Linked DNA regions of Lepisosteus oculatus. The protein of the gene in region 1 purifies or fractionates together with the protein of each later gene. This does not show direct contact. Links are inferred from orthologs where the notes say so. Each region holds a gene or a part of one and is shown in the gene's direction. Other genes may lie near its edges.

What was found. Proteins that work in one complex are often made in the same cells at the same time.
Region 2: the proteins of slc31a1 (region 1) and usp32 purify together in Homo sapiens (co-immunoprecipitation; 3 studies listed by BioGRID and IntAct, with this or other methods). This does not show direct contact. The link is inferred for Lepisosteus oculatus from reciprocal best matches to the Homo sapiens genes SLC31A1 and USP32.

The regions. Positions count from the first base shown.
Region 1 is NC_090719.1:255,665-263,582, forward strand, and holds the start of slc31a1 (high affinity copper uptake protein 1), read left to right. Parts: upstream 1-4,434; 5' UTR 4,435-4,621; intron 4,622-5,368; exon of another isoform or gene 5,369-5,538; intron 5,539-6,049; 5' UTR 6,050-6,131; coding exon 6,132-6,136; intron 6,137-7,830; exon of another isoform or gene 7,831-7,918.
Region 2 is NC_090721.1:8,329,574-8,337,571, forward strand, and holds the start of usp32 (ubiquitin carboxyl-terminal hydrolase 32), read left to right. Parts: upstream 1-4,743; 5' UTR 4,744-4,915; coding exon 4,916-4,973; intron 4,974-7,998. Other genes in the region: si:ch1073-145m9.1 (CDP-diacylglycerol--glycerol-3-phosphate 3-phosphatidyltransferase), read right to left, coding at 249-361, 727-822, 1,101-1,140. UniProt on the Homo sapiens protein: Deubiquitinase that can remove conjugated ubiquitin from target proteins, such as RAB7A and LAMTOR1.

The DNA.
Region 1 (7,918 bases):
GGCTTTTAAACCTGGCGAACACGGTGCGCGCTGGAGTCGCCCTGGAAACGCGCCGCGGCCCCCTCCCCGCGAGCTGCTCTGGCCCTGCCCCTCCAGGTGAGGCAGACAGGTGCGCGGGACGGTACCGGCGTGCCTTGGAGACCAGGCCGGGACAGGCGCTGCTCAGTGCTGATCTCATTAATCCGGAACCCACAGCACACCCTCTAGCCTGATGCAAGGCACCACGTCTTAGCAGTGAATTATAAAAATAATGTAACCAGCTAATAATGGTATCAAAGATTATTTCTTACATGTACAGTTGAATTAATTCACCTTATTCAGAAATACATTAAAACAGATCAGCAGTCCGTTCTTGTACGGTTCACAAAACGTCGTGTATTCAACTTGCATGTTTAGTTTATCCAGATTTGACTCCAGGGAGCTCCACACTGTAACTTAGGCTCCATCTAGCGACGGAGAACCGCATTACCTCGCAATCACTATTTCACATTGATATCTGCTAGAAATGTGGATATCATTTTGTTCATTCGTTTTCATTTATAAGAAGTTCTTGTCATGTGTGTGCATATGCGTACATTTTGTTTGGCAGACGGGTGTTGTTCAGTTTGAAAACCAGTCTATCCTTTATATAACTTTTCACGGAAATCCAAGCCTTTTGACTTCCAGCGAGTATCGTATTAAAGCAAGCAAGCACGTCACACTTCAGACTGTACCCTTGGAGATCTCCGCAACACGGCCCACTGAGACGTGCGGAGCTGCACGGACTGCGGTGCATTCCCCGGAAGATCTGAGCTGGACCTGCTGATCCTGAAAGCAACAGCGTCTTTAGTTTCGCTTGATGTTTATCTTCGCGTGGCTAATTTAAACGTTATTTATATTTCTGTTTGTAACACAAGAGACGTGACAAAGGAAAGAAAGCCGTTTAGAAGCTAACGATCCACGCCGTTTCTTGAAAGAAGTCAATCCTTCAGCAACCGGGCCGGACAGGTGTTCCCTGTTCCGCAGCTCTTTGTGTAAAGACTCCTCCTGTACTCAGTTGTAAATCAATCTCAGTTGCATTTCCAAATAGTTTCCACTTGCATCGTCTAGTTTCAATTTCACATAAGTCACGCTGATTAGGTACAATGTCAACATAACATCCCGTGATTCATGTTCTACACTTTCAAACATTTATCGTAGCACTTTGTTTGCCGTTTGTATCACTTACCCACATTGCCTATAAGAATTAAATGATGCATCACTATAAACACCCAATTCTTCATTAGTAGTGTCTTGAAGCAGTTTCCCATTTCATATTTATAGTTTATGTTTTTGGTATTCACAATTAAATGTAATCTGCCGGAAAATACATTTTATTTTATTTTTTGCCCTCCCTTGAATGTTCTCCAAGTCTTTTAAAACGTCTTTTGCTGCTTATGTAGTATTTGCTATATAGACTTGTATACTTTAATATCGGAACATTGATTGTTAGGAAAAGCCAGACTTGTCAGATCTCCTGTGGTACTGCACCACTCTGAGCATGCACATATCTGTACTGTGTTTTCTATTGGCCGATTCTGTGATGTTTAAAAAACAAAAACACCTGTTCCTGCGCTATTATGGATACTGGAAGATTCACTTGTAAGAGAAGCCAATGATGAACTCTATAGATATGATTGTGCTCTCAGAGGTCCCTTGTTTTCTTATACAAATAGGAAAACACGTATAACAGGTTTATTATCTGTAAGAATCCACTATTGTCAAAAATCAGAACAAAAGTAGTGCATCACTACTATTAGTGATTGTCTGCCAAACTATCCTACCAACACAAAACTCTTGACAGCTTTTAAATTCAAATATGCAGATGAGAATGCTGCAAAGTATTAAACAGAAACATTCACACAGATACAGGTCTCCAAAAATCAATTAACCTCATGAAATCAGGCTTCACGATGCTTTTATTTTATTTTGCGTAGAAAATCTGTTGCAGATGGAATGAGCTGGTAACTGGTTAAATGTCAGCCGCTATAAAAACCCAGAGTCTGCTTCTTCTCTTTAAGAGCCGGTGGAAAGACTGTAGGCAGTACTAGTGCACAGGAGTTACTGATGATACTGGCATCTGCATCAGCTGGTAATCGTAGCTGAAGCACGCTGATCACTTTGATTGTGAAGCACAACAGATGTCACAACAGTTCATCGGGTTAGGTGTTTTCTTTTAATTTTTAACCATGTTCCCGAAAATGTATTGCTTGTGTACTCCTTTCATTGGTGAAGAGATACCAGTTTCCAAAATGCCGCTGGTTCAACACGAGAGCCCATATTCACATTTTTAGGTATTAGTTTCAAGAGCGATATAATTTAACAATTAAAAACAACATTGAAAGCACGAGCATAACAATATAATGATCATAGACTTTACATTTCTATTCATTTTTGAAGTACAAAGCAGGTGTTTCCTCTACCTTAAATATACGATTAAAATTGTTCAAATACCATGTATTCCTTACAGAACATGTCGCGACATGATATGACATACCCCGACAAAAATGCCCTGTCCTATGTCGCGACATGGAGTCCGTATATCGCGATATGACATACCCTGACAAAATGCCCCACCCCCATGTCGTGACATGGAGTACATACATCGCGACACGTCTATCTGGGTATATCATGTCCTGATATGAGACCTGTTGCGATAGCTGTGGCAGGGTGGCATGGAAGCAAGGCGCCAGTCGTGATATACACTGCCGCGATATACATGCGATATACATGGGGTCCCTATCATGACAAGCTGCGGAGGTCTTGCCCGATGGTATCCCACAGTTACGCGTTTGGCAACAGGAAAAGTCACGGTAGGAAAAGAAAGGAAAAGGAAGAAAAGGAAAAACAGAGATCTTACAATCACGGTGATTTTACGTAAATTACAGCCACAGGTTCATGTCATAGATGGTTAACTTGTCGGCATGCGTCATGTCTTAGTATTATTCACATCTAAGGAGGCTCATATGTTTATGGATATTGATTGTCTTTATAATGTTAATGGTACGAGCTAAACTGTAACAGAGCGCTTGAACTCGGCAGACGGGGTCACTGGAGGTCAAAGTCACTGTGTATCTCGGGAACGAAAGCAGCACAAACGCTACTTTCAACGGCACAAACCGGCACAAACGTAGCGCTAACGAATGAGGTGGGTTTCATCGTTTGTGCTGTCTGTAGGGGGGGCAGCTTCACGGAGCTTTTAACTTGCCTTTACGTAAGGATTTCAGAGGTTGGAGTAAATGCATCGCCCCAAGGGTAATATCGAGTGAGGCTACATGAGAATAAAAACTGCGAAGGTATAAAAATATTAAGTTCTAAATTCTTGGTTGATCCTTCATAATGCTTTTAAACTTGTATGTGACCCACGAAATTAGTATTTTTTTCGATGCCAAAACCTAATTTGGAAATTCACACAAGACTTAACACTGAACTGTTATAGTCGCATTACAGTGCTGACCAATCCATCGTACCTTTAATTTTAAGAATGGTCTGCTAATAAAAGCGTCAAATACATACTTAGGATGTATTTTAGCGCTGTAAACGTCGTTCACTTAAAAATACTGCAGGGCATTTAGAGGCGATCTGAATAATTATCTGTAAATGCATACTCGCATCTATCTGTCAACATTATCTCAATGTTATTCATGCATTCCAAAACATGTAATTTGTTTACAGGAGATATTTTAGGACCTCTTCGTGCTTAACTCCTACAGGTCGAGCATGTATCTGCTGCTTGTGTTCGGGAAGCCAGGCTGTACTCCTCAAAACCCAAGATGCCTGTAGCATCTCATGTGTCTTATTTGTTTCGGGACTGGTCTGGTCATCTACAGGCGGCTTTTTGAAAAGCGTAGATACACTTGATCTTAGCCAAAAGGCCGATATTTCCCCAGAAATCGCGTTAATTACAATGAAATACTGATCAAAATTAATAGAAATATTGTATTAACAAACTCGATGTAATTATATATTTCAACGTCAGCATTGATTAATTGTTTAATCCAAATTATACCATTCTTAACCCAATTTTAAAAACAAGGTTTTATTTCTAACTTTTATATAAAGTTGTTCCAAATAGTAAATCTATGAGGGGAAAAGTTATGTTTACACATAAGTGACCACGTTAGAAGTACGTTTATGAAAACTAGGAAGTTTCAAGGGGATTTTTCCAATGTCAAAGTTACACTTAAGTAAAAACTCTATACCCCTAATTCTTGAAATATCAAATTGGGGATTATATGCCACATACTTTGCTAATTATTTTAATAGTTTTGTATCCATTTAATCTTAAAAATAGCATTAGATGTCCTAAAATCTAAAGCATTTAAGCCCCCTTCTGCCTGTGGACGACAAAGAATCTATTTTTTAGGATATTGCGGTTTTTGCGTGTGTACATGTGGCAGAGCCGGAAGCCGGTGAAGTCCCGTGCTGCGGACACGATGATTGGCGGATCGCTTGCAGCCTGTGTGTTACGTCAGCTTGCTGCTGCGAGAGGTGTCTGGGTCCTGGGACGGTGTCGGCTGGTCTGGAGAATTTAGCCGGTTCGCTTTGTGCGGGATTAAGCGGAGGGGAGAAACAGGCACTATTGGAGGGTGTTCTGGCGAGGGTAGGTATATCCGATATTGGGCCGTGTGTGTGTGTGTGGGATGTGGGGAGACAGGAGGTCTGTTGTCTGCAGTTTGACCTCTGTTCTTGTGCGCTTCTTTATGACGATCCTGAGTGCCAAGCGGCAGATGTTCGCGTGTGTTAGTGAGCGCTTTTTGATGATGAGTTTACGTAGGATGTTCAGGGGGTTTCTGTGAGTTTGAGCTTTTTTAAAAAAATAACAGTCGTCTGCTGGCGTTTGCGGATGAACTGGTTACTGGTTCCCATTGGAGATGCGCAGTCCGCACACCGGTGTGTGTGCCATCTGAAGGCGAGAGCCGTGCAGGATTGCATCAGCGCTTCTGCGTCTCTTCATATCGCTGTCAGATCGATGCTTTTGGAGAACATTAAACTGCTCCAGTCGTGCTGTATGTTCTTAGGAAGAGAATCGCTGAAGTGTAATGAAACCGCTCTCCAGAGGGTGCGGGCAGCGCTGTGTCAGCTCTCGGAGTCCCGACTGAGCAACAGGCACGCTGGCCTCCTCTGACCCACACCCCAGGTCACAAAGGGAAGTGGGGGAGACCACACAGAGCCCCAGCACCAGCCCGAAGCACACCATACAAGCTGTGGTTGGAAATTTGTTTTGTTTTTTTTTAGAAATAACCTTCAGGTCCTGCTCTGGTATTTCAGTGTTTGTATTTACTTTTGCGCAATTTCCTGTTGACTCTCACTTGCAGTAAGTACAGTCTGCTCTGGAGGGTTAGCGCCAAAGTCAATACTACACTGTTTACCTCCTAGCTGGGCTCAGGTTAGCTGTAGTACTTCCAGCTCAGCTACAGTGACCAGCCTGTTTTTTCATGAAGCCGAGAAGCCGAGGTTTCTACAGGAGTTTCTTCTTTCTTATGTGAAACATGGCCGTCTGCTGGGAGTCTGGTACAGGTACAGCAATATCGGCACTGAAAAGGGAAACCTTTCATGTTTTGTATTTAGCCAATTGCTATATTTCTATATAAAGAGGCTCAATAGAATTGTCAAGGCAAGTGCTGAGTTCTGATGCACTGAACAGTCTTGCAGGCAGGCTTGTCTGGTGTAGATGAAGAGAGCAGGAGTACGGGCTACAGTGTGGGCACTGATGAGCAGAGAGCAGGAGTACAGGGAACAGAGTGGACACGTCACAGTGTGGGGCGGTGCTCCAGGCTGTGTAGTCTGTGGGTTCAGTCCCAGATGGAGACACAGCTGTAGTCTTGCTGGTGCCCAAGCTGCTCCAACAAACTGAACACCAAACAAACAGGAAACACTAGTCTGTAAAAAAGAAGTAAAAGTAGACACCCATACATTTTTTCTTATTAAAGCATTACTCATATTAAAAATACTCAGATTGAAGTTTTTCTCTGAATTCTTTGGCTGTGTCCACATATCCAGGGTTATTTACAAGGCATTTTTCCACCAGGATCAAGTTTGCTCTGGCACTTAGGGAAGTGGTTGGAAAACGGTAGGGGTGCAGAGATCTCCAGGAATCCAATCTACCGGAAATGAGGTTGGTGGAAAAAAGAGGAATGAAATGAGTGTTGTATGAGTCAGAAACCCGGAGTGTGCCGTGGGCACCAGTGCAGACTGACCAGACCAGGTCTCCAGAGTCCCGCTCTTCAGGGGAAGGTTTGTCTTTCCGTTGAAGTGGGTCTCTGAATGAGCAACTCCTGAGGTCAGAGCTGCTGCTGACTCCCACCCAGGCAGAAGGTTTGTGTTGTTCAGTCAGTAAACGCCGAGCTGTGTTTTAATTAATGCGCTGTTGTCGTGGAACTTTGCAGTAGGGAGCTAGGATTGAGCCCTGCAGGGGGTCAAGAATGAGTATTGTGTGTTCCCTTTCTGACAGACTGGATCAGAAAGCTGCAAAGGGAGGGAAAGCAGTCTGCTCTTGATTAAGAGCTGTTATTTACCCAAGGTCACAATTTACCAGCACCACAATGCTTCTCTGAGGTTTGGTAGACGCTGAATCCCTGAGACTTGTCTGCATTTCAGTTCTTCATCACACTGAGCTCCTAAAACACTTCCCACCAGCCCCTTTCAGCACAGCATTGGTCCTTCGGGGATGTGTAATTTCAGGGATGTTCAGGAATGTTTTTTGGTATGTGGAAGCTGTAGGTACTGGCACCCACCTACATCATTTATATAACACCATTATAATCTCAAAATTGTTGCAGTTATAACATTATGCCTGTACTCAAAGCACCAATGACCTTGCATCTGTAAAAAGTTCTTTATGTTTAAAGCACTTCTTTTGTTAACAATACGTCCTTGGGATAATGACACGCAGCGCGTAGACTGCAGGCAGCTACAAATTCAGTTTTTGAAAACAGAAAGGCTAGAAAGGAAAGCCATCTCGCTGCTGGAAGAGGGGGTTGGGTGGGATTGAGGATTGTAACTTCTGTTATCTGGCTGTAAAGAGGAAATGGGCGGAGAAAGAAAAAGGAGAGAGAAACTTTTTCTTCCTTTCATGCTGCTGTATGGTGCCTTAAGTTCAGTCCTGAAATAAAGGCCTGGTGTTTGCTTCACCTCTCTAGCCTGGACTCTGATTCTTTTCCTGGCCTGCTGAAGAGGGTTACACTCATCCATCTGCCTTGACTGTAAACCAGAAGCACACTCAGGGTCAAGGTCAGAGATATAGCCCAGGAAGCAGTAACCAGATGGTCACAGAGGGCCTGTTTCTTGAGTGCTCTCTTGTGCTCTGGAGAGGAACTGATCTGTCTGCTCGTTGCAGTGAAACTCATTACATTCCAGATTATGAATAAACGGAACACAGATCTGCAGGGGCCAGAAAAACTCAAAGTTGTCAACAGTGAAGTCAAATAAGACTTGTGTTTCTCTGAATGAGAACATTTATGAAGTAATGTACTAACTGCATCATCTACATTGACTTTCCTACATGTTCCGGCATGCAGACTGAAGGAAGCTGACTATTCTCTTAACCTGAACTATGTGATGTAGATCCTGAGTTATGTCATGAGCCACTCAAGATACTTCTTTACAGTGGTTGTTACAGCTACTGGAAAAGTGGTAGTTATGGCCGAATGGCCACTTTCTGAAACCAGACAGACAATGGGTGATTTCCATCGACAGGGAATGGAGTGATTTCCCTGCCAGAGGAAATAAAGAGAGAGACAGCAGAAGGCAAGAAAGAGGGTGTTTAACAGTACAGATTGACTTTGCATGAGAGGGAGAGGGAGGAGACTAGAGCTGATGCAGATATATTGTAAGCTGCTGTAGGAGGAGTCCTGTCCGCTGTGGGCAGGGTTAGGGGTGTTTCAGGCAGGAAATTGGA
Region 2 (7,998 bases), on another chromosome or scaffold:
AGCAGGGGGCGCTCACCCCGTGGCCTGTGTGGGTCCTAATGCCCCAGTATAGTGACGGGGACACTATACTGTAAAAAAAGTCACTGTCCTGCAGATGAGACATAAAACTGAGGTCCTGACTCTCTGTGGTCATTAAAAATCCCAGGGCAAATCTCCCCTGCAAGATATTGAGACTCAGTGACTTGTAAGTGTTTTCACACACACACACACACACACACACACCATGGTGCTTCCGGGACGCCCTGTACCTCGAACAGCATGCTCCACAGCATGCCCCGGCCCAGGTTGTCAACCACCACATCCAGCCAGGCCCCGAACTCCGACGTCTGGTTCAGGCGCCGGGCTGCCCAGCCGTCCACCCCTGAGATACCGAACACAGACACCCTGTCACTGCGCTGGTCTGGACTGGGCCCCGGGGTCTGGAGACACAGACACCCCGTCCCTGCGCCGGTCTGGACTGGGCCCCGGGGTCTGGAGACACAGACACCCCGTCACTGCGCCGGTCTGGACTGGGCCCCGGGGTCTGGAGACACAGACACCCCGTCCCTGCGCCGGTCTGGACTGGGCCCCGGGGTCTGGAGACACAGACACCCCGTCACAGCCAGGGAACTATAGTCCCTCTCGACAAAATTAAAATCAGGCTTTCAATATCAGTACCCTGTATTCTTCTGTTGCTTTGCCTTCTGCTTTCCCACTCAGTAGACCTACTATACAAAGTTTCCTCACCATCCAGTATGATGGAAATGACGTAGCAGGGGATGAAAACCTCAGGCTCGTGGAAGTAAGCCCAGGCGATGCCCAGCAGCAGGACCCGGATGTACCCTGTGCGACAAGAGATCACCTGTGAGAGGAGTGACGTCACTGACGGACCTTGGCCTTTATTATCTCTAACTATCTCCATCTAGGTGCGTGCAGCAGTGTCCATCTGAACACAAACGGCCCAAAGATGTATTGTTAAACGTAAGATTCCCTCAATTAAGATGGCATAAACACAGAACGGCACTACGCGAGCAGCCGTCGCGTTGGGAAGCCAGCGCGTCGCTCGCCGACACGCTTCTTAACCGTGCCTGGCTGGCGTACATATTGTTTTCGTTCCTCACCAATAACATTCGGGACGAACAGTAACACCTCCAGTCCCATTTCATCCCCTCCGGAGCGACGCCCGCCCCCTCGCCGACTGCACAGTCTCCACTTCCCGCACGGCTCCGCGGCTCGGCAGGAAGGGCAACTTCATCTCATCAGCTCAATATCACCTCCTGCAGCGCCCGTGACGTCGGCTACGGGGGAGAGGAAACAGCACCTCATTAACATACGCGGCGAGACGTCTGAGGGCCAGCTTGTCAAGCCCCGTTTCCACGAGAGTTTCTGCGGGAAGAGCGCCGTGGCGCCCTGAATTACTCCACCGACCGACCACCGTCACCCCTCCGCGTCTGTCTTCCTGATGCGCCGAGCCCGTCACCTCCACAGCAACGCGGGCAAACACGCTTCCTCTGCGTGTTTGTCTATTTAATTTTTGGTTCAAACTTTTATTTACGGTCATTATAATCCGATCGAAGAACAAAAGGTATCCGAAAAAAATGAGAGATAAGAGGGTGTAGCGTTGGACCTTTTTGTTTTGTGATTATGATATATAGGAAGTATTACCTACAGATTAACTGTAAATAAATGTTATTTTTCCATAGAACATCTACTTCCTCAGCGTTTCTCCTGTCAGGACACTTCGGCGGCAACCAGTAAGCCGCTGACCTCTGCAATGATAACTTTTCTCTTCAAGCATTTGAATGTGGGTGTTAGATCTAAGATGTTTGATATGATGTTATGCTGTACAATGGGAAAAGATCGTGTATTTCTAATCAATTATTGATAACGGATATAAATCGCATCCACAAAACAAAATGGACCAATACTACCCCCCTTCAATGCTTATAAGGCGGAAATACAATATTCCTTCAACTCCATAAAAGGCTAGAAAAAAACAAGGCAAAAAACACAATTGGCGTGTGTAAAATTGTAACCTGTCGTGTTCAGATTTGTAATTATCTCTGGCAATATATTGTTCTGGGTGTTTTTTTTTTGTTGACTTGTCTTTTTCCATCCATTTTCTCTTTTATCATGTATTAATGTTCAATAAAACTTGACTTTTTAATATCGGTAACCACAGTGGCACCAATGTGTTTCGAACATAGAAATGGTCCTACTAACGGTAGGGTATTTTATAAATATCGGAGTTTATTCCGTAAGTCAACCAAATTTCAAAACAAAACCGCTATTAGTTTATCAATAACTTGCTTGATCTGTTTTCATTTGTTTCAAGGTGATGCGCTGTATTTCTCCCTGAGGCCACTTGAGGTCGCTATAACATTATTGGGATCCTTTCCGGACGGGCCTGCAGGCCTCACCAGAATGAGCACATGAGACAGGTCACAGTCGAACCCGGGACTGACTGTCGTTGCTCTTGCCTGGTCTGATTCCAGAGCCAGCGTTAGTTTTTTTGTTTTGTAATGTGGTGACCAGAATTGTATACGATATTCTAAATGTGGTCTTGGAATTTTCTGCAATTTAGACAACATCACTTGCTTGAAATTAATCACTTTTAATGTCATGATAGTCTGTTTAACATTTTTTATGGCCTAGAAGACGACAATGATGTGCTAACAAGACAGTCCAAGACAGTATGAGCTGTTTATCATGCCTGTGGTTTGTTTGTGATACTGCATTCAACACTGTGCACCTGTGTAATTTTAATTTACTCTGTAAACTGTTTGCTCAGACGTCTTGAAAGCGCTGTTTAAATACTTTCAAATCCTTTGTCATTTCTACAACATTTGCCAGCTCTCCCGTATCTGATATCAACACCAAGAAGGCATTATAAATGTTTGTTTTTTCTTCCACTCCCACGTTTAAATCGCAGGCTGATTCCAGCGTCCTGTTTGTGGAAGTTGTAATAGTCCGTGAATGATGTGCGTTGTTTGACTACTCCTTTTTCAGACTACGTCTCCGTGTACAGTCCAGTTCAGAGGAAGTGAATTTGCTAAAATAAGTTTCACATCTCGGGTTCTTCTAAGGTCACCATTATGTGGCTGATCTAGTACAAGTCACAACTGGATTGCTAGGACAATAAAATGAAGAGAAAGAGGAAGGCAAGCGAACCAGTATTGTAGACCAGACCAGAAGAAACCCAACAGCATTGTTGCTTCTTGCTCTTTATTGGTAGAGAATTAATGAGAACAATACATCCTGTCTCTTAGTTCATCTAAACGAGTGTATTGATCTATGTTCCTCTTTACTATCTTGATTTGCTCCTCTTGCATTTTATATCTATTTCCTCTCAATGGGATTGTAATTTATCTTTGCCTTCGGCGCTGCTTACAGTCAAAGTTAGATGCAGTCCTTTTAGGCAAGGCAGCTGGTGTCGGATCCGCACTTACAAGGGAGGTTATCTTGTTCCAGAGTCATATTCTGATCTCTCACAAGCCAAAAGCCCTAAACGTTTTAGCTGTCAAATCGTGTCATTTCCCGTCCGAAAGCGATCCGATCATTTTCAGGGGTGTGTCTCGGGGTCTGCTCCCTGATTGGCCGAGACCTGGTCCCGGGGGGTGGAGCCAGCAGGGACAGTCAAACCTTGGTCCGGAGCTTCCGGTCATATATATCCGTATCCATTAACACCACGAAAGGGCTCATTCACCTGCGGTTTAATACAGGCTAACACTACACAAACACACTTACTTTCATTTCCCAACAGAATAATTATGCGCAAATGAGGCATAAAACGGGTTTTCAAAGCGCACTTTTTTTTAGCAAACGATAAAAACTGTAATTAATCAGTTGGCCCAATAATTAATGCAGCTGACTAATTAAGAGCTGATCTGAGACGAAGGCCCTTTGTCCCTCGAGCGTGTGGGTTCGAGACCTTTTACTATATTACTGTAAATCTCAGCTGGCGTAATTAGAATGATGTAAAAAAACAGTAATTGCCTTTAAAACAGAACTATGCTTTAACCTCTCAATAGGAAATGAGACCTCTTGTGACTCGAAACCTCAAAGACCATAAATCGTGGAGACAGTAAGTCTTGTGCACGATATATTGTCTAGGTCTTTCCTTCAGGGCTGTCTGTTTCCGTTCACAGGAAAACTTTCGCTGGTTCGCAGTATTTATTTACATAATTAAATTTTAATAAAATCAAATGGTTCATGATATACCAACTAACACTTTAAAGTGGGGGTTAATCCAGTCCTGAAGCAATCATGAAATTTAATTCTGCAAATTTCTTATATAAATCGTGTGAACATTACTGCAGTATTCCTACGAATACTAAAACAGTAGTCATTGTTTATTAAATGAAGTATGCAGACATTTTTTACATAAATTACTATTTCGCTCCTACTTGCTATTCGGTTGGTTCCTTTTGTCTGCAAATAGTTTAAAGTTATAAGATATTATTAAGTATGTATTTAATACATAATAGAAAGCAGAAGAGTATCAAGCATGGTGATGCACTTCACATGATTTTTTTCTCTTACTGTTAAGAGCTTTGAGAAGTTGATTTTGAAGACACTATATTATTATTATTATTATTATTATTATTATTATTATAGCGCTATTGATGCAGGAGAAATCCATTATCTTCGCTTCGCTCGCGCCAGCGGTGCAGTCAATGTCCTCGCGCCCGGCGCCTGCGCGCTGCAGTGCCGCTGTAGCTGTTTTCCTACCTCGTCAGGTGACCCGACATTAGGTTCGGTCATGTGACCAAGTATGGAGGCGTCGGCGAGGAAGAGCGTCATTCGGCGAAAACACTGAGGCTACGGTGGTGTTGGCATCGAGCGCACGACAAACCAGGGGGAAAAAAAAACAGGCAGCAGGCACCGGGTCCCCCCTACAGAATCATATCTCGCATTGTTGTGAAATGAGGGCAACATGGGCGCCAAGGAGTCGCGGATAGGGTTCCTGTCGTATGACGAGGCCGTTAAGAGAGGTGAGTGCTGTTACCGCTGGAGAAGGTGGGACTGAACACCCTGCGGTCAGTGACAGCAAGCGGGGCTCGCCTTGTTTACCGCACGGCTGCGGGGGGATCTGGAGCGCTGTCGGTTTCCCAGGCGGGCTGCAGGAGGCGAGGCGGTGTTGACAAGTGTCGTGTCCGTACTGAAGCTGCCCGGGGCGCTCGGTCGCTGAGGTGCTGGGTTCTGAAAGCCGAAGGAACCGCGATTCAGCAGAATTGTACAGAGGGGCAGGGGAGAATCTGGGGATCCGGGGTGAAGCGAATATTTTTTGTTTATTTTTCTGCGTTTTGTTCCAATTGGCCGAGGCCGAGCTCCGCTATCGGAATGTGACACTGTAGTACTAAGCAGCTTAAGTGATCCGGCACAACCCATTAGCAAATAAGGCTCAGAATACCAACAGGAATGAAGCCAGGCCGCCGATAACGTGTGTGCCCTGTAGTTGTGTGTGGCGAGCAATAATGATGGATAATCGTTAATTTAGGAGAGGAAGATTGCCTTTTTTTACTTTGGAGCTCAGGTCGGTACAGGACATTTACCAGATCTCCACCTTTGGAGGAAAGCGAGAGATCGCCCCTGTCATGCACGCCTAAAGCGTAAACAGCACTTTCTTTAATGATCGTTTAACGTTTATTTTGGTTTTTAATAGTTACACCAAACGCAGACTGAAAGCCCTTTCAAAACGCCCGTATGGGTGCATTGTTGTGGTGTCACTGTATCAAGGCCTTACTGCAAGGAAGTCTTCAGTAGCAGATTAATTTAGTGTTTTGTGTTACAGTTTCTGCTTTATGAAAGGCATTGACACTACACTTGAGACAAGCCCTTAGTTGTCATAATGGGTAAAATTTGAGATTGGATGCTTGGACATCCGACTGACAAACTCCCCTTGAAATGAGAACTTCTCACTTTGTTTTATTTTAAATGGAATAGTGGCCAGTGGCCTCAACACCCTCTGCTTTCTAATCCACAATGGTGTGTGCATCGGAGATCTGTCATCTGCAGATAAGCAGTGCAAGCAGGGCACCTCTGAAGAGCGTGTGAACAAGATGATGATGCACACCAGAACTGCAGAGCTCTCTGGTGTGTTAACAGCAAAACAATCATCAAAGTTAGTTTAAACTGTATTTGTTATTTATCTAATGGGGTTATTATTCTTGCATTCTTGCAAACTGCATTCTCTTACTATCCATTACTTAATCATTTGAGAAAAAATGCTGTGCCTGTGTATGAGTATCTATGTGTCGCAACACTGTTACTGTACGACAGTATTTATAGGCACGTTCTATTAGCACAGACTTCAGTTCCCTTCCCAGTAATCCAGTCTGTTTACTGGTGTAACCCTGTCATTTTCAGCAGCAGCAATCAGGACTCACTTTGGCATGTAATACCAAATAACGGCATGATAAATCAGAGCTGTTTATCTACAAAAAGGACAGGTCATTAAACTTTGAGCCAGTGCTGAAATAAGTAATAGTTTGCATTTATATAATTTCACTGCTGAAAACCAGATATTTAAGTGGGGAAAAAAAATTGCTTCTAATCTCTGTAGACAATGCGATAGAGAAAATATCATTCTGGCTTTTGCTAAAGACGTCTCCCAGACTCATTTATCACATCTACCCAAATTAACATTCCTGCAAACACTAGCTGATTTCTGTGTGAAGCAAGCAGTCTACATTAGTACAGAGCAGAAAGGGAAAAAAATGGATTTCAGTAGTAATGATGGTAATTTTACTCTTTTCTAAGCAGTGCAATGTTTATGAGGGTTAAATGAGAACGTATTGTACATAGTCCCTGGCAAACAATTATATTGAATTAAGTCAAGTACCACTGCAGCTTTGAACTTTTGCAGACTTTGCATTTTTGAATAAATATTGTCTGCAAAAAAATGTAGAGGTGGTTAGGATTGGAGAGGATTGGGGGGAGGGCTCTTCCGAGCTCTACATTTCCAATGTGAACGCCAATTAGAGACCAGCACCAGTGATTAAGTAGTCTGGTTAATTGCTACAGCACACGGTACTGTGTGGGGAAGCCCCTGAGGGGGAAGTGTTCTCTGACAGGAGCAGTTCTGTCTTCTCTTTCATTGCATTTGTGGCTGATGACGCATCAAATAATTTGCAGGGGTTTTACACCTGGTGTCCTACAGGGAAAAAAGATCTAGCATTGATCATATCGCTATTGCTCATTTGCAAATTTACTCTTTTTTAAAAACGTCTTGGGGATGGGGAGACACAAATGAAAGTGCAGACATTATCCTTTTTTTTTCCCTAGTAATTTCATGTTTCAACCTGTGCTGTTGAACAGAGACCTAAAGCCTGTACTGTTTTCTGGTCACCAGAGCCTTCTGTGTATTTTGAGAGGTGACTGTACTGCGAGAGTCGAGTTTGCTGCAGTTGAGCAAACTCACAGGGGTTAGTTTTAAGGTTAGCGCTTGCAAGGTGTAGTCTACTGCTGGTATGAATACTGTTCTAGCATCAGATCTTAAATTTTACCCATTATGACAACTTGTAAGGTATAGTCTACTGCTGATATGAGTAATCAAGTTAAAGCTATGGTGTAGTTTTACCTGCATGCCTGCTCAGATATCATGGTCAGGTAGATATAGAATAGGTGTGTGAAAGCTGTGTCAACAGTTTTCTGGCTGTTTTTCCAAGCTGAAGAGCAAAGTACCTGAACATTCAGCTGTTTCTCTGTGTCTGCTGTGTGCATACATTGTATTTATTTCTGATCAAGAAAACAATTTCCCTTTAGCTAATGTCCTTTCACATTGGTGTAAAACATGGTATTTTTGTGCCCTTTCCCAATTCAGATCCTTGGATGTTCTTATCCACAGTATGAGGTGTGTATGCAGGAAACACAAAGAGAATATGGTTTGCTTGGAAAGTTTTGCATGATTGTCAGTGTTAGTGCTTACTTAGGATGATAAGTATAGTGTGCTATCAGCTTTATTCAGTTTTCTCTTTAAGAGTTAAGAATTACAGTATAAAACAGATATAGAAAATT